2 linked regions of the Astyanax mexicanus genome follow. The protein of the gene in region 1 interacts with the protein of each later gene in a biochemical or structural test. Links are inferred from orthologs where the notes say so. Each region holds a gene or a part of one and is shown on either strand. Other genes may lie near its edges.

Region 1 (7,485 bases):
TAATTTACAGTGTTTTGCTTGGTAACAAATCTTATTTTAATTGTTTTTTTTTCTTATAAAATGTATTATTTTTGAATATTTCATTCCATTATTTCTCATAAAAAAAACAAGCTACACCAGGTGGTCATGCATTACAGAGATTTTTTTTAACAATGTTTGGCAAATATCTGCTTATGGCAGTGATCTAAAGTTGGAAAATATCAGTAATGCAGAGCCTCATAGCATTTTCCACTTTTCAAACACCTTCCAGCTACTGCAACATGCATTAAATGACAAGAAAAAGCACTGAACTGAACTGAGAAATCCTTACCATGCACTGTAAACACGTTGCAGTTGTGAGCGCCATGCCTTGATGAGTCCCGCTTCCCGCCACCCTTGATGAAGTTCAGAGCAGGCAGACTTGGTCTCCTTTGGTCCCCAACAGACTTCCCTGGCTGCTGCCCCATAAGGGCAGGTTGCCAGGCCGTAGCCGTGAAGCACAGCTGATGTTAGTCACTGCCTTGATGAGAGGTAAAATTGAATTTGATGGAAAGGAACAAGCGAGGTGCAGCGTTGGTGGGTGAGCGTCAGGACCTCCAGATCCCCAGTCCCTTTTCTGACACCAATGTAACGTTTTTCTGTGTCCACTATAGTGGTAAGGCAGACCCCACACCCAGATACTTGATATGTTTTTGTCCGTATCATGCATTGATTGCCCCAGTCTTACATTCCTCAAAGTCTAGCCTGGAGGTATGGATGTTCAGATGTTAAAACATACATATAAGCTACTGTCAAGAGTTCCACAACACTAAACATTCCAAAATAAAATAAAGGCATTAAAATGAAGAAACGATAACTAGGCCTACATTCTGGGCACAGTAGTGTTAATGAGTAGAATGGTGACTAGTTTCAGCATCATCAAGAAACGCTTACAGACGTAGAGCTAAAACAACCAAAATCTGCACTGTCACTGAGGTATTATTAGATCACACATTGATATTAAAAGGACCTTTACACTATGATTAAAACACCACGGTGCACAGTACCATTCAAGGCACATACATGAGACAAGGCACATGTAGGACTAAGTGGAGAAAACCAGTACTGTTTGAGAACGTATGAGACCTTGCAGTTATATTGCAGTAATAAAAAGATATGGTAGGTTCAAAGGTTTAAAATGATAGTTGCATATATTTAAGAGTTACTTTCATTTGTTTTCCATATAAAAGATATTTTTAAGGCATTAACAATATACAAGCAACCTGGAACTTTACTTTAACCCTGAATATCATTTCACAGACCAAATGAGGAAGAAAAAGTCAGTAGTAGTTGACTGTGAAGAATTAGGAGGAATTGACTAGCTAATTATGTCAATGGAAGAACTGGTTTTCTATTTCCAGTGAGGAACTGGATGTGTGTCTATAGGGAGGAACTGGAAGTATGCCTCAAGGGAAGAGCATGTTAGCTAGCTACCTCATTATAAAGAAGTCCTAATATTAGTGGACTTCATCAAACCTAATTAGCTAAAACCAAAATTAACTCAAGGGGTAGAACATAAAGGGTTAACTCATATTAAGTAATGATATTAGTGTGGTGGACTTCAACAGGCTTAGTTAGCTAGCCAAAAAACTAAAAGGATTGTTTTTTTTTTTATTGGCTAGATAGCCAAACCACAAATCATCTGGTCAAATTAAGTGATCTAGCTAGTATTACTGTGGTGGGCTTCAGCAGACTTTACTTTAACTAAAACTAAAGTTAAGTCAAGGGGAAGAAATTTTTAACTTACATCAAGGCCTAATATTGGTATTTTGCAATCTTAACAGACTTAGATAACTAGCTAAAATATAAAACGTCTTTGAATAGACTTAGAAAGATTAACTGATCAACTTAGGCTGGCTACAACAAGTCGGCTAGCTAATATTTCTATGGTGGACTTTAACAGACTTTAACTTAGCTAAAACTAAAATTAAATCAAGGGGAATAACTGTTAAACTTATATTAAGCCCTAATATTAATGTGGTGTACCGCACCAAAAAAAAAAATCCTAACAGACTTGACTAGATAGCCAAAATCACAAATGAGTTAACTGTGCAACTGTTTAACTTTAGCCTTAAAATACTTTAACTTAACTAAAACTAAAATTAAATTGAGAGGAAAAACTGTTGAACTTACATTAAGTGATAATATTACTGTGACACTTAGGAGACTTGGCTTGAGAGCCAAAATCACAGGAAAGTTAACTCTTTAATGGTTTAACTTTGCCTTTAACTTCACTAAAAATTAAATTGAGGGGACGAACTGGTTAACGTAGCTAGCCATCTAACCTATAAGACGTTCTTGCATTACTCTGACTTAAAACCCAATCTCACAGGACTTTTCCTACCAGCTTAACATTAAATTTGACATGTTTTCAGTACTTACCTACGACTGAACGTTAGAGTTTATGTATGTATGTGTATGTTAGATATCTAGCGTTAACTACGTGTTAAGAATATATGGTTAAGTATCCAGCAGCTCTAGGTCTGTCTCAGACAGAAAGCTAGCGTTAGTTAGCTTAGCTCCCCTAGCTTAGCTAACTTCACCCTGCTGCTGCTCCGCCTCAGCGAGCGTTAACTCTCAGCGCTGCTTAACAACAGGTTCCCTCAGCTGGAAACTTCACTAACAGCAGTGCCTGAACACACACACACCGAGCCCCTGCTCAGCTCAACACCGTCCCCAGCCGCTCTCTCACACCGACAGGCTTTTATTCACAGTCAGAAACTCCTTCCCGCAACTTCCGCATCCGAAGAGTTCAGCTCTCTTTCCCTCCGAGGCTCCAAACTCTCTATACTGCAGCCCGACTGCAGGCACTCCAGCTCGGGCACACAACCTGCCGTTCCCCCGCCTCCACCGACCGCCGCTCGCCCCGTTCCCGCCGCTAACCCGCCCGCCCGACTGAGGCAGGAGCTGTCGCTACAGGCGCGCGTAATGTCCTGCAGTATTTCTGAGTGTAGGAAGAGTTTTTACAGAAGTTTATGCTGAGCGAGCAGCCGTCGACGCAGGGGCCGCCATGTTTCCGTACGCAAGGTGGGCTGGTGTTTCGGTTTGCGTGCGTTTGACGTCACGTGGCGCCCTCTTCCGCCAACAGAGGGGCAGAGTTTCAGACCCAGTAGCATATAATACAGTCAACTATACTTTTGGATGGTTTAAGTATTTTTTATTTTAAAAAATGCAAAAAAAAAAAAAATGTTACATACCCAAAACAAATTCCTCCTAGAGAGAAATGTTACTAGATGTCTTTTATTGGAGATATTGAATAGAAAAAAAACTTGGCTTTTGCCACATAAATACTGCATGTCTAACAAGATCAGAGAAATACATTTCAAAATCTTACATAAGCAGGTCCATTGCAAAAGGAGCAAACCAAGCAATTGCCTGAGGCTCCGAACTTCTAAATTAAATGCAACAACAAACTGGGTGAGAGGCCGTTTAAATTCTGTATAATAACTAGAAAAAGTCAAAAACACATAACTATGTTACTAAGTATTTTCTTTAGAAAATTACAGATGAAGCTGTAAGTACTGTTTCCTACACCTTCAAACGACTTTTGGAAACTTTAGTTAAACTTATACAGAACCTTTCTAAAAAAAAAAAAAACCCAAGGACGCTTTACAATATATATATATATTTTTTTTACACACAATCATTAATTCTCAGCCCTCATCCACACTCCTTTGAGAAGTGGCAGCCAATAACGCACAGCGTACCCTCACCCGGAAACAACCATCCACCTGGAGGACTGCATCGAGCACTACAGCATTTTACTCAGGAAAGAGTGCCAATCCACATCTGGCCACATAGAAACTTACACACCAAATCAATTTAGAATAATACATATTTCTGGGTAATTTTACAGTATCCACTTTACCTGATCTCCATGTTTTTGGACTGTGGGAGGAAACCGAGGACCCCGGAGAAAACCCATGCAGAAGGGAGGGAGAACATGAAAACTCCACCCAGATAGGGACTTGAACCCAAAGACCCCAGTGCTGTTCCACACTGTTCCACATATGTATACAGTACCGCTCATAAGTTTGGAGACACATTTTAATTAATATTTGGTTTTCATTCTTCACAAACACTGGACATTTAAACCCCTTTTTCTCAGAATAAAGACATTCCATGAAAATATATGTGCCATTTGTTTAAATAAAATTCATAATGTTTAGAAAAGATAATGACATTTACTGTTTATTTTATAATGTTGATTTAGAAAAAGGGTATTTCATTAGTTTTTGGATTTCCATTTCATTTCTGCATTTAAAAAAATTCGTATTATTATTGCAAATTACACAGATTTTTATATTGTTGATAACTTTGCTTAAGTCTATAAATACCAGTAGTGATACAAAACTCAATGTTTACGAGTAACTCTGTTAATGTAGTAATTCTAGAAGACATGTTAATTGTAGATAACATATAGATCTACAGATCTATAATGACATTCTGACTACATTATAATGACTGAATCACACCTCCACCAAAACTACTATAGCTATTAAAAAGTAATTGCAAAATAAAAAGTCTATGACCTTTAAAAAGGTCATATTTTACTAGTAAAACCTGTAATTACAGACACTATATTTTTATAAGTAAAACATTTATGGTCTCACATCCAAAGATGTGAGTATAGATGTGAATATATAAAAAGATGTAGGCAGTATCACATCTCTTGAATATGTTTTTTACATTTTACATAAACTTCAATTAAACTGAATTTAAATTCTGACTGACCGACTCTCCTTTGCATTTTGTTGAAGAACATACCTTTAGTTGTAAACCCAAAGAATCAGTGTCATTTGACCTTGTACTTAACAGCCCACAACCCATGTGAATCTTTTTTCAGTACACTGAGAATATGCTGTGTTTATGTATTTAAAGTATTCAAAATTATTTAAAAGTTTTAAGTGCAATCCTGATTGTGGCCACAAGAGGGAAGCCATACAAAAACCCTGGTCTGACACCCCCTTGTGAAATCACACTGAATATTGTGGACAATTTTCTAATATGCTGTGCATATTCTTCCTTAAACCATAGCAGTTGCCAACACACTAAACCAAAAACTAAACCAAATACAGTGCTAAAACCACTGCACTTTTTATTAAACAAAGATCAAAGCTTTTCATACAAAATGTTTAAACAGTATCAAAACATTTTACACAAATTAACATATTAAATATTTCCTTAGTTTCTGGGCCTTTAACAGTCTGTAAAAAAAAAAAAAGTAATGTGTGAATGCTGCAGGACTGTGGATCTCCTGGAATTTGATGACCATTATCTGCCTCAAATCAGCTGCTCCCTGTGCTCGTGTTTATATAGCTTTCAACCAGCACTTTAACCCTCCTGATCAAGAAGTCGCTGTCGTGTCTCCATCACAATTTCATCCATAGTCTCTGGTTTCAAGATATCCTTGATCTGAAACAAATTCACAGAGAAACACTTTGTAAGACATATGCACATCTTTACACCTAGAGCACAGCTACATGTCATATCTGTGGCTAAACAACAGGTGAGTCTACTTAAAACCTGGTCAGATTAGCAGATCTGAGAGCTCAGTAGTTGACTTTTGATATAAATACTGAGTATTCTCAGGCAAATGCCAGTAAACAAACAAAAAATAGGCAATAAAGATCTAAAATTGGTAGGTAGAAAGGCAAATCAGATCAAGTCATCTGTACTACTCTATATATCTATGGCAGCAATTAAGACTGACTATTGACAGTGTAAGTTTTTAGTTAATCCTGTATCAAGAAGCTGGTAACGGCAAAACTATGGTATGGTTTGCAGTTCCAGTGAAGGTTTGATCACAGTTTTAGATTAAAAACTTGAACCCAGTCTATCCAGTCATACCTGATGGGAGAGGGAGGATTCATAGCAATAGAGAACGCTGGTATCATACAGAAGCACTTTGTGAGCTGCCAGGGCCAGCAAACAGTTCCTCAGTCTCGAAATGACCTCGCGATCTGATAGAGCAACAGGCTAAGCCACACAGAGAAAACAGTTTAGTATATTTAGTTTAGTATATTTAGTATACAGTATTATAACTGATCAAAAAAAAATCATATAGACATACACATTCCACATTACTATATGACAAAAAAGTGTTTTGTATGTTTAGTTCAGGGCTGCAACTAAATTATTTTGATTATCAATTAAGCTGTTGATTATAAAAAAAAAGGGAAAACACTTATTTAAAATATATGTAATATATTTGATAAGATATTGTTCAGATATGAAATATTTTACGGAATTAAAGTGGTACTTGTATTAGGAACATACATCCTACCAGTATTAAAAATATTTAAGCATTAACATAATGAATTAAGTCGAGAGTTAATTTTACTATTACTCATTTTACATTATCATTTAACAACATAACAACAGTGTATGGAATGGAAATATACACTCAGCTGTGATTCTCAAACACTTCCACACAATATCAGTCACAAAAAAAATTAAAAAAGGCTTAAAATTAATTATTTAAAAATTGATTATTTTTAAATCTTTCACTGATTATCTGTCACTGCCACTGCATTTAAGGTGGAACAGAAATCTGCCTGTGAGAAATAAATTTATATAAATGAGACACACCTTGGTTAACTACTCTAGCAGGCTCTAGGAACACTCAGTGACAAAAAAGAGAACTTGTCACTAATGTTATCCTAAATAAACTACGATTTGTTTTGGGACTGCTGGTGAAGCTGCCACATTTAAGGTGGAATTTAAGGTGGAAAAAAAACTCAGGGTTTTAGCAGGCTCCGCAAGCTCTAGAAAAACATTGAGTTAGAGAGTTAGAGGGGTGGGGGTCACTGTAGACCAACTATTTTCATAAGCGAGTAGTTGTTGCATATTAGCTTGTGGGAAGTGTAAGTTAGCTTGGACCATATTAGAAACTTAGCGATTGCTGCTATATGGCTAAGAACTCCCTCTGAACACCTCTTTAAAAGAACATATCTGTGCATATAAACTTTTCTGAAGTAAGAATATTGGAACTTCTCTATTAACCTACAGTTCTTATCTAAAAGTCTGGTGAGGCTTTCATTCTAGTTTGGATTTAATAACAGATGGAATCCAATATCAAACTTAAACAAATTACAACCTATCAAACAGAATTGTTTCAAAATCAACCAGAAAATCTGAACACAGATGGACTTCTAAACACAGTATAAAACATGCTGAAAAAAAATTATGTTTTCAACCATTAATAAAATCATGTTCTCCTGACCTCCAGGCTTGTGTAGTATCCTCCTGCCTCTTCATCTTGATGCCCTGGTGTAGGGTACAGCCAAAGGAAGCCATTGTTCCCCAGGATTATGGAAGCTCCACAGGGCAGATTGTGGAAATGGGTTTTCTGTCTCTTCACAAGAGATGGTGATACTTGCACCAGTACACCCTGTCCCAACTAAGAATGGAAAAACACAAATCAGGCCAAGTAAACTGAAATATCACTGTCGCAAATATTAAGAT
Region 2 (7,873 bases), on another chromosome or scaffold:
ATACTATTTACTTCCCACCCCTTGTAGCTAGTTGCAACTAGTCTATACACATACTAAATGAACTAATCACATAGGAATAGCAGGTATTAAAATGCAACAACTTTAATAAAAGAAATGGCAGAAAACACACCAAAAACAAAATGAGATCCCATACTAGGCATTTCACAAATGTTTCTGACAACAGACTGTCCCTGAATACACAATAACTTAAATCAGTCATTCTAAGACAACTTTGTGCCACTTATATAGTAGATGATACAGCAACATAAAAAATAACACAATTACTCTCTTAAAGAACAATATTTTTAGTATTAATACTTTGATGTATGTCATCATTCTTAAATATATACACACAAACATTCAATTGAACACAATGGGTAATATCGTGAAAATAATGAGTAAAAATTACTCTTAGTCAACTTATGCCAATACATTGTGCATGATTAGTCAATAATGTTGAGAATTATTATTGTGGCAGGAATACTTTATACTGTCAGAACGTGTAAATATGGTACCTTAGCCAATATATGTGATTGTATATTATACACAATACACATATATATTTTAACAACGTACTATAACATTAATATAGCAAATTTAATTCTACAAAATTTTATACATACATCCCTGAGGTTCCTGGTGTATGATATGTGACTACAATATTAGTAAACATTATGTGTGCTTTAATGGATAAACACAAATCGAAAAAAATTAACTGGTTTCAGTTGTATGTATATAAGGCTGTATAGGGACAAAAATCCCCTCACAATATAGTTATGTTGCACATCATCTAATTTAACAAGAATTTGTAATGATATGTAGATTTTGGTTGTTTTTTAAGCACTGATGAACTCCTGGATACTTATTAAATATATTTGGCTTGATTCAAATACGATAAAATATCTCCATATTGTACAATTTCTACATTTAAACCACAGGAAACCATCACAACCATCACTCAGAGCTGCATCTTCCAATGAATGAGTTGAGGTAGGGTTGTAAATGGCAAAGGTTTTGTTCGTACATGAACACAGCACTAATTCAGAGGTAGCTAACCTACATATGGAAGAACCTACTGACAAGTGCAAACGTGTTCCAACAAGGTGGAAAAGAAGGTCGAAATGTTCACCCTTGTAGCTGAAGTCTGAAACCAAGAATACTTAGCTACGTTGGATAATCATCTTTACCCAAATTGATATCTCAAAATATTTCTTTATTTCAGTCAATTCTATATAATTAATAATACAACCTCAAGTAGAGTGCTTACCTTGGTGCAGGCTCTATCAAGGTAGTCGTGTCCAGGTAATGTATTTTGTAGAACTCCAAAAGCGCGGGCAGATGCTCAAATTCCTGGTCGCCTATCTTGAACCTCTTGCTTGGCAAAGAGTTGATGATATAGTGGGAGACTTTGGAGTTTTCGGACACCGACAGCACGTAATCACCTGGACAGGTGGACGAGTCTCGAACTAAAAACATACCGTGTCTTTGTCCCTGTAACCTACTCTGCGTCTCCTGCCTCGAAAGCGAGCCGAAATACCAACAGTTTCGGTCCGAGGAGTCGAACCGTGCCGACGACATGTCTGATCTTAAATAAATAGCAAACGTTAGTTAGGTTAGACTTAACAATACAATATGTATAAATGTTAGCTATAGAATAAATTAGAAAGACGAGTGTTAGCCTTAATTCTGACTTATTGTAACGTTACAGCACTTTGACACTTTTTAAACGTGCTTTAGTTATAAATAAAGAGCTGAACTTTAGCTAAAACAAAAATGAACTACAACCTGCCGTTTCACAAGACAGGAGTGCAAGCAACCGACACAACCCAACTTAGTAGTTAATTAGTTGCTTTACCATGAATTGCGCTGTGTGTTCTGGCTTTGCAAAGAATAAGCACTGCTTTAAAATAGGTAGATATATATATATTACATTTAGATTATTACAAAAAATGATCGGTCAAAAAAGACAGTTTAAGTGACACCAAATCAAGAGAATACCGAGAATATAGATTAAAGTTCCCCTTTTTCCCTTCCCTCTTCCGCCAAATACCTAGTTAGCTACACAGCTAGCAGACAGCCAGCAAGTTTAAATAATAAACAATATTATTCAGTCAGATTAATTTCTAAAACAATATTATCTAGCTAGTTTAGTTTAAGAAATAACTTAACTATACTGGCCAGCCACCGACAGTTAACTTAACCCTAGTTAAAACTAACTTAGCTCATCTAGTTTGGTTCATGAAACGAATATTAGCAAGCTAACCTAATTAACTGTAGTTCTTTTAGTTGGTTATAAAACAATATATAAGCCAGCTAGATTATTATATTTCCTGAAACAGCATTAACTAGCTAAGCTATTTTAGTTTATTAAAACGTCAATTAAACAATGATTAACCAGCTAATCACGTAACTAACTTATAGTTTAGTTCATGAGACAATAATAGCAAGCTAGCAGCTAATTAGCTAGCCGTCTCAGCACTGTCAGCTCACGATAGAGAAAAGCTCGCCATAGTTAAACTTAAGATTTATTATCTCGCTAAAAACACCGCTCTCTACATCACGATAGCTGCTTCAAAACACAGAACATACGTTAAAGCGTCCATTAACGAGTCCTCAGCAGTATTTCACACGCTAAAAACACCCAAAACAGCGTTTGTCCACGCCTATACTCCAGCAGCTAGCGCAAGCTAACCGACTTCAGTAACAGAGTAACAGTGCCGCTAGCGCTAGCGTTAGGTTAGCTAGCAGTAACAAAGATGGCGGCCTGCAACACGTCTTCTTCACACTAAAACTCTCACACAAATGTGAGCAAATCCTCCACTTTAAAAAGAGATTCCGCAAAATAGCAAAAGTTCTCAAGCGTGAAAGTAGTCCTCGCCGCTCGGGCGCGTCTCTGACACCCGAAAAAGCGGTGTAAAACCCACTCTGTCCCGTTAAATTCAGTTCCCCTGTGAGGATCAGGCAGCTTCAGCCCTCTCCCTCTCCCTCTCGTCAGCTCAGATAGTGTGAGGTGGAGAAATGGAGAAATGGCGTCTGGAGGGCGGGTCTGCTCTCGCCTCTCTGCCGCCGCTTCAAACCGAGAAAATGATGTGCCTGTGAGGCACGACACTCCCCCACTCCTCCCTTTATTTATTTATTTAATTTTTATATTTTTTTATTAGTTATAGAAATAGGTACAGTGATATATTGAAACAGGAAACAAGAAGAAGTAACAGCAACATATCAGCAATGTCAAAGATAGGTAACGTTAAATAACGAAAGAAAGAAAAAAGAAAAATAATAATATATTTTTTTAAATGTTTCGTGTAACATAATATTAAGCTAACAAAATCAACAAAATAACGTAAGAAAAAACGAATGTAATGTAGTAAATAAATCTAAATCTCAATACTAAAAGAAAATGGGGGGGATTGTGCAGACATTACCATTTTTTTTTATTCCACCTTAAATTTTAAATTATTCAGCCTCTGCTGTCTGTTGCACCATTTAAGGTGCAACGGGAAATTTAGCTAGCTACTGAGGCAAACTATTAGCTAGGCCTGTCACGATAAGATTTGTTTGTGGACGATATATCGTCCCAGAAATTATTGTGATACACAATATTTTTTTTGTAATTTTAAGACTATTAAATGCCACTGACACAATGATAACAGAACAGCATAAAAAGGCAGTTATACACTTTTTTTTAAAGACAGCTAAATTTTAATAATTAATCATTTATTATAATTAGTTTGGGAATTATATACTTATTTCTTCACCTACTTTAGTCCTCACAGTGTTCATGTTATAGAGTCAAAGTTATTGAAGCATGACTGACTAAAATACTGTTATATATAACAAAAGGAAGAAAGAAAAAAGAAAAAGAAAAAAAACAGAGGAATTGCAATAATAATCTTAAAAAAGAAGACATTCCATAGTCATCTCATCTTTTGAAAAGACTGCAAAAATAATGAACAGCCACAAGAATTTCTCAAAGTATCTTTTCTTATTATTTATTTAATATTTATTATTATTTAAATTAAATTGTAAAGCTTTAAAACATTTAAGGATCTACCTATTTTTTTATTCAATGAGGGGCCCATTGACTTAATTGTTTGCAAATATATTTTAAAATCAGAGTTTATAAAAGATATATAAGATGGCAGTTTTTTTTTTGTTTTTAGCTTTATGTATGTAATATTTTGCTAATATTATAATAAGGTTGATAATAAATGATTCATTGCAATGAAATAGAGGGTTATTAAAAATATAAAAAATATAGTTACTTTCAAGGGGAATGTCTTTACCAATTTTCTTCCCTAAATTCCAAAATATATCTACCCAAAAAGAGTAGGTATAAACACAATAAAAAAATAAATGATCAATTGTCTCACTACAGTTTTTACAGAAGCTGCAATTTTCAGAGATGGAAACAAATCGACTTACTCAGGAGCTGTGGTGACGATGATGGAGAGAACATTAGCAAAGCCAGTGCTGATCTCTGATTTTGCTATTTATAATTATATGTTTGAGTAAAATTAAAATTGTTTCATTCAATATAAGTTACTACGGACAACAGTTTTTTTTTTTTTTTACAAATAAAAACATTGTCATTTAGAGCAGTTATTTGCAAAAAATGAGAAATGGCTGAAAAAAACAAAAAGATGCAGAGCTTTCAGCCCTAACAAGTTAATATTCATGAAGTTTTAAGAGTTCATAAATCAATATTTGGTGGAATAACCCTGGTTTTAGCTTGGTTTGATGGCTTCTGATTTTTTTTGATGATCATCCATCTTCCGTTTTGAGTATATTCCAGAGGTTTTTAACAAGTTAAATCAAAGAAACTTATCATTTTTTAAGAAGGCTCTGGTTATTATTTTGGGTAAAAATCATATACCTTACACTGTTGTAAGTGTATTAATCTTACAATCTAATAATATCTGATTTATTATTATGTTATTGCATTCTATTTTATTTTATCTTATTTCAACAATTGTACTTGGGTGTAACTGGACAGTGAGAACACAATTTAATTCTACCTCATATACCACATGTGATGTGAATGACAATACTTGCACCCTCTCTTTTCCTATGTTTATAACTTACATGATTTTTCCTGTATCTGCAGTTATGGGGAAAACAATTTTAAGATTTTTTAAGACTTTTTCATAGCAAACAGAGCCATTGAAATTATAACAGCTAAAATATTAAGTTATATCAGTATCGGCCATTATTTTTTAAAACAAGTCTACATTTTTTGGACTGAGACAAAATGTCTAAACTACTTTAAAATTATTTTATTTAAGTTCATTTTTATTTTTATTTTTTTTATATTTTTACTAGTTTCAAAAGATATTTTGTTTTATTTAGACAGTTTATTTTAAATGAGGGTGTAAACCTGTGACCAAATGTAACAATGTTACATACTAAGCAGACAATGCAATCACTATTACTTATTTTGTTTTTACACAATGCTAAAAATAATAAACATAATACTGCACAGGGTTTTGCTTACATGCACCTTTTACAGTGTTCAAATGCACCATTTAAGGTGGAATGGAAAATCTGAACAGAAAACTGGTGAATAAAAACCTAGGTTATATCAGCCACAATTATCTTAATAGTAAAAATAAACGTAATATTTCCATTACAGGTGCATACACATAAATATTACAGAGAAATGTGTTTAAAAAACAACTGTGATGGCTAGGTAGGTTAACTAGGAATAGAGCTAGCTTGGTTACCACAGTATCAGTTAGCCACAAGCTAACAGAAATGTTGGCTAACTTAACTAGGTTAATGTTAATTGATAAACTGAGTAACAACATTGAATTAGTTGTTTGGAATAATGTCTAAAAGCAATTTTGACATGTTATTTACACATGTATAGTAAAATGTCCTGAATAAATAGATTTTATGGTTCTAGTTTAAAGATAGCTTAGCTTAGCATTACCTCAAATCCTGTCAGAAACTTCCACCAACTGACAAAATATTCGAATTTCCCGCGTTTTTTCGCGCTGCTTCCAGCTGTGAGCTGCAGACAGGTGAACACAGCGGTACAGCAGGAATTGTATTTGGTTCTTCACCTGCTTCACCTGCCTACAAAGGTGTTTTAGGGCCACTTTTAAAAAAATAAACACAGATCTGTTTGAGATAAAACCGGCAATATTTAGAGCATAAAGTCACAATATTACAAGTTTAAAGTTGTAATATTTAGAAACTAAAGTCATAATATTTCGAGAATAAAGTTGTAATATTACATAATTAAAATCTAAATATTAAAGTCTAAATAAGCTAAATAAAGTCCTAATAATACAAGAATGAACTTGGAATATTTTGTAAATAAAATCGAAGTGTTATGATATAAAAATTTTAATATGATAAAATAAAAGTCATAATATTTTGAGAATAAAGTTGTAGTATCATAATATTATAAGATGTTATATCATAACAATATATTTTTTATATTTCGGGGGAAAAAATGTGATATTTAAAGAACATTGCCATAATATTTATAGAATCCCGTTTACCCCAAACACTTCTAAAAATAAGAAATACAGATACTGAAACAAAGCTATTAAATTTACACTATTACAGTTTGTCGAGTGGTTGCACATAGGTAAAATACAATATTTTAGAGAATAAACTCGTAATATTTTGATAACAAAGTTGTAATAATACAAGTTTAAAGTCATAATATTTTAAGAATAAGGTCGTAATATTTTTAGAATAAAGTTGTAATATTTCGAGAATAAACTTAAACTCCACATTATTTATTTTTTCATTATTTGCCTTGCTATGCCTTCCAGCAGGAGTTGGTATTAGGCGCCACTGTGTGGTCAGAAGTATTAGTTATAATTCATTTACAGAAATCACTGGCAAATGCCAGAACATGCTTTTGTTGAAAACAGACATATATCGACTATATTAATATTAATATTCACATTCATATTCATATTACTACGTAATACATTTAAATACATATTTTGTTTTAAGTGTCTTTTTTCTAATTCTTTGTGTCTAGAATCTCTATCTTTTTTTCTCCCTTTCTCTCTCTCTTTCTTTTTTGTACACTTTTTCTTTTTTTTTTGCTCTTTTATGCAAAGGTTTATGCATCTGCTTTCCACTATTAAGGCGAGTGTTTTAAACTCTATATATACTATTTTTAATTAAAATGTGCAAATTTAAGGTAACACTTATTCAAAGTCCTTTATTTTTTAGACTTACATTATAGTTAACTTTCTTTAAACGTTATTAGCTAGCTATTTCAAGCCAATTTAAAGTTTATTATCTGTATTATCTTTCTTTTTAGTTTACTTTATTTTCTTTTTTGGTGTTTTTCCTGCAGTTCACTATTCCTTAGTCTTGCTTCACACTCCAGCTCAGTAGGTGGAGGTAATAATGCAGCAGGAAGACTCGGGTTTTGGCGGGGAGCCAGAATTCGGCACAACACCGGGGGTGGAGGGGGGTGAGTTAGCCGGGTTAGCTAGCGTGCTAACGGTGTAGAAGCGGATTTGGATCAGCAGTTCATTCACTCCGCTCGGTGTAACAGCAGCTAGCTAACGCTTCTGGAAGCTATGGATCTTCCCCCGGATAATGACTGGAGGAGTCCGGGATTCCGGCAGAAAGTAGTGGCGCAGATGTGAGTAATATTATTATTTATTAGTAGTAATAATTAACTATCATTACCAGCCGAGTCAGTGCCTTAGCTGAACTGAGCTAGCTCAGTCACTGATTATACTGGGTAGCTAACCTAGCGTAGCTAAGCTAAATACCGCCGCTAGCTAATGCTAAGCTAATACATTTATGGGACGAATTGGGCGCATTTTAGCTACCTAGCTTAGCTTAACGTTATATTAGCTAAGTTAACTAGTTAGCTATACCTTACTGGTTA

What was found.
Region 2: the proteins of abl1 (region 1) and crkl form a complex in vitro, tested with the Homo sapiens proteins (4 studies listed by BioGRID and IntAct, with this or other methods). The link is inferred for Astyanax mexicanus from reciprocal best matches to the Homo sapiens genes ABL1 and CRKL.

What each region holds. Positions count from the first base shown.
Region 1 is NC_064408.1:20,980,474-20,987,958, forward strand, and holds the start of abl1 (tyrosine-protein kinase ABL1), read right to left. Parts: upstream 3,050-7,485; 5' UTR 447-3,049; coding exon 311-446; intron 1-310. Other genes in the region: exosc2 (exosome complex component RRP4), read right to left, coding at 5,353-5,433, 5,869-5,997, 7,244-7,420. UniProt on the Homo sapiens protein: Non-receptor tyrosine-protein kinase that plays a role in many key processes linked to cell growth and survival such as cytoskeleton remodeling in response to extracellular stimuli, cell motility and adhesion, receptor endocytosis, autophagy, DNA damage response and apoptosis.
Region 2 is NC_064424.1:2,442,057-2,449,929, reverse strand, and holds the start of crkl (crk-like protein), read right to left. Parts: upstream 3,051-7,873; 5' UTR 1,579-3,050; coding exon 1,268-1,578; intron 1-1,267. Other genes in the region: med15 (mediator of RNA polymerase II transcription subunit 15), read left to right, coding at 7,557-7,621. UniProt on the Homo sapiens protein: May mediate the transduction of intracellular signals.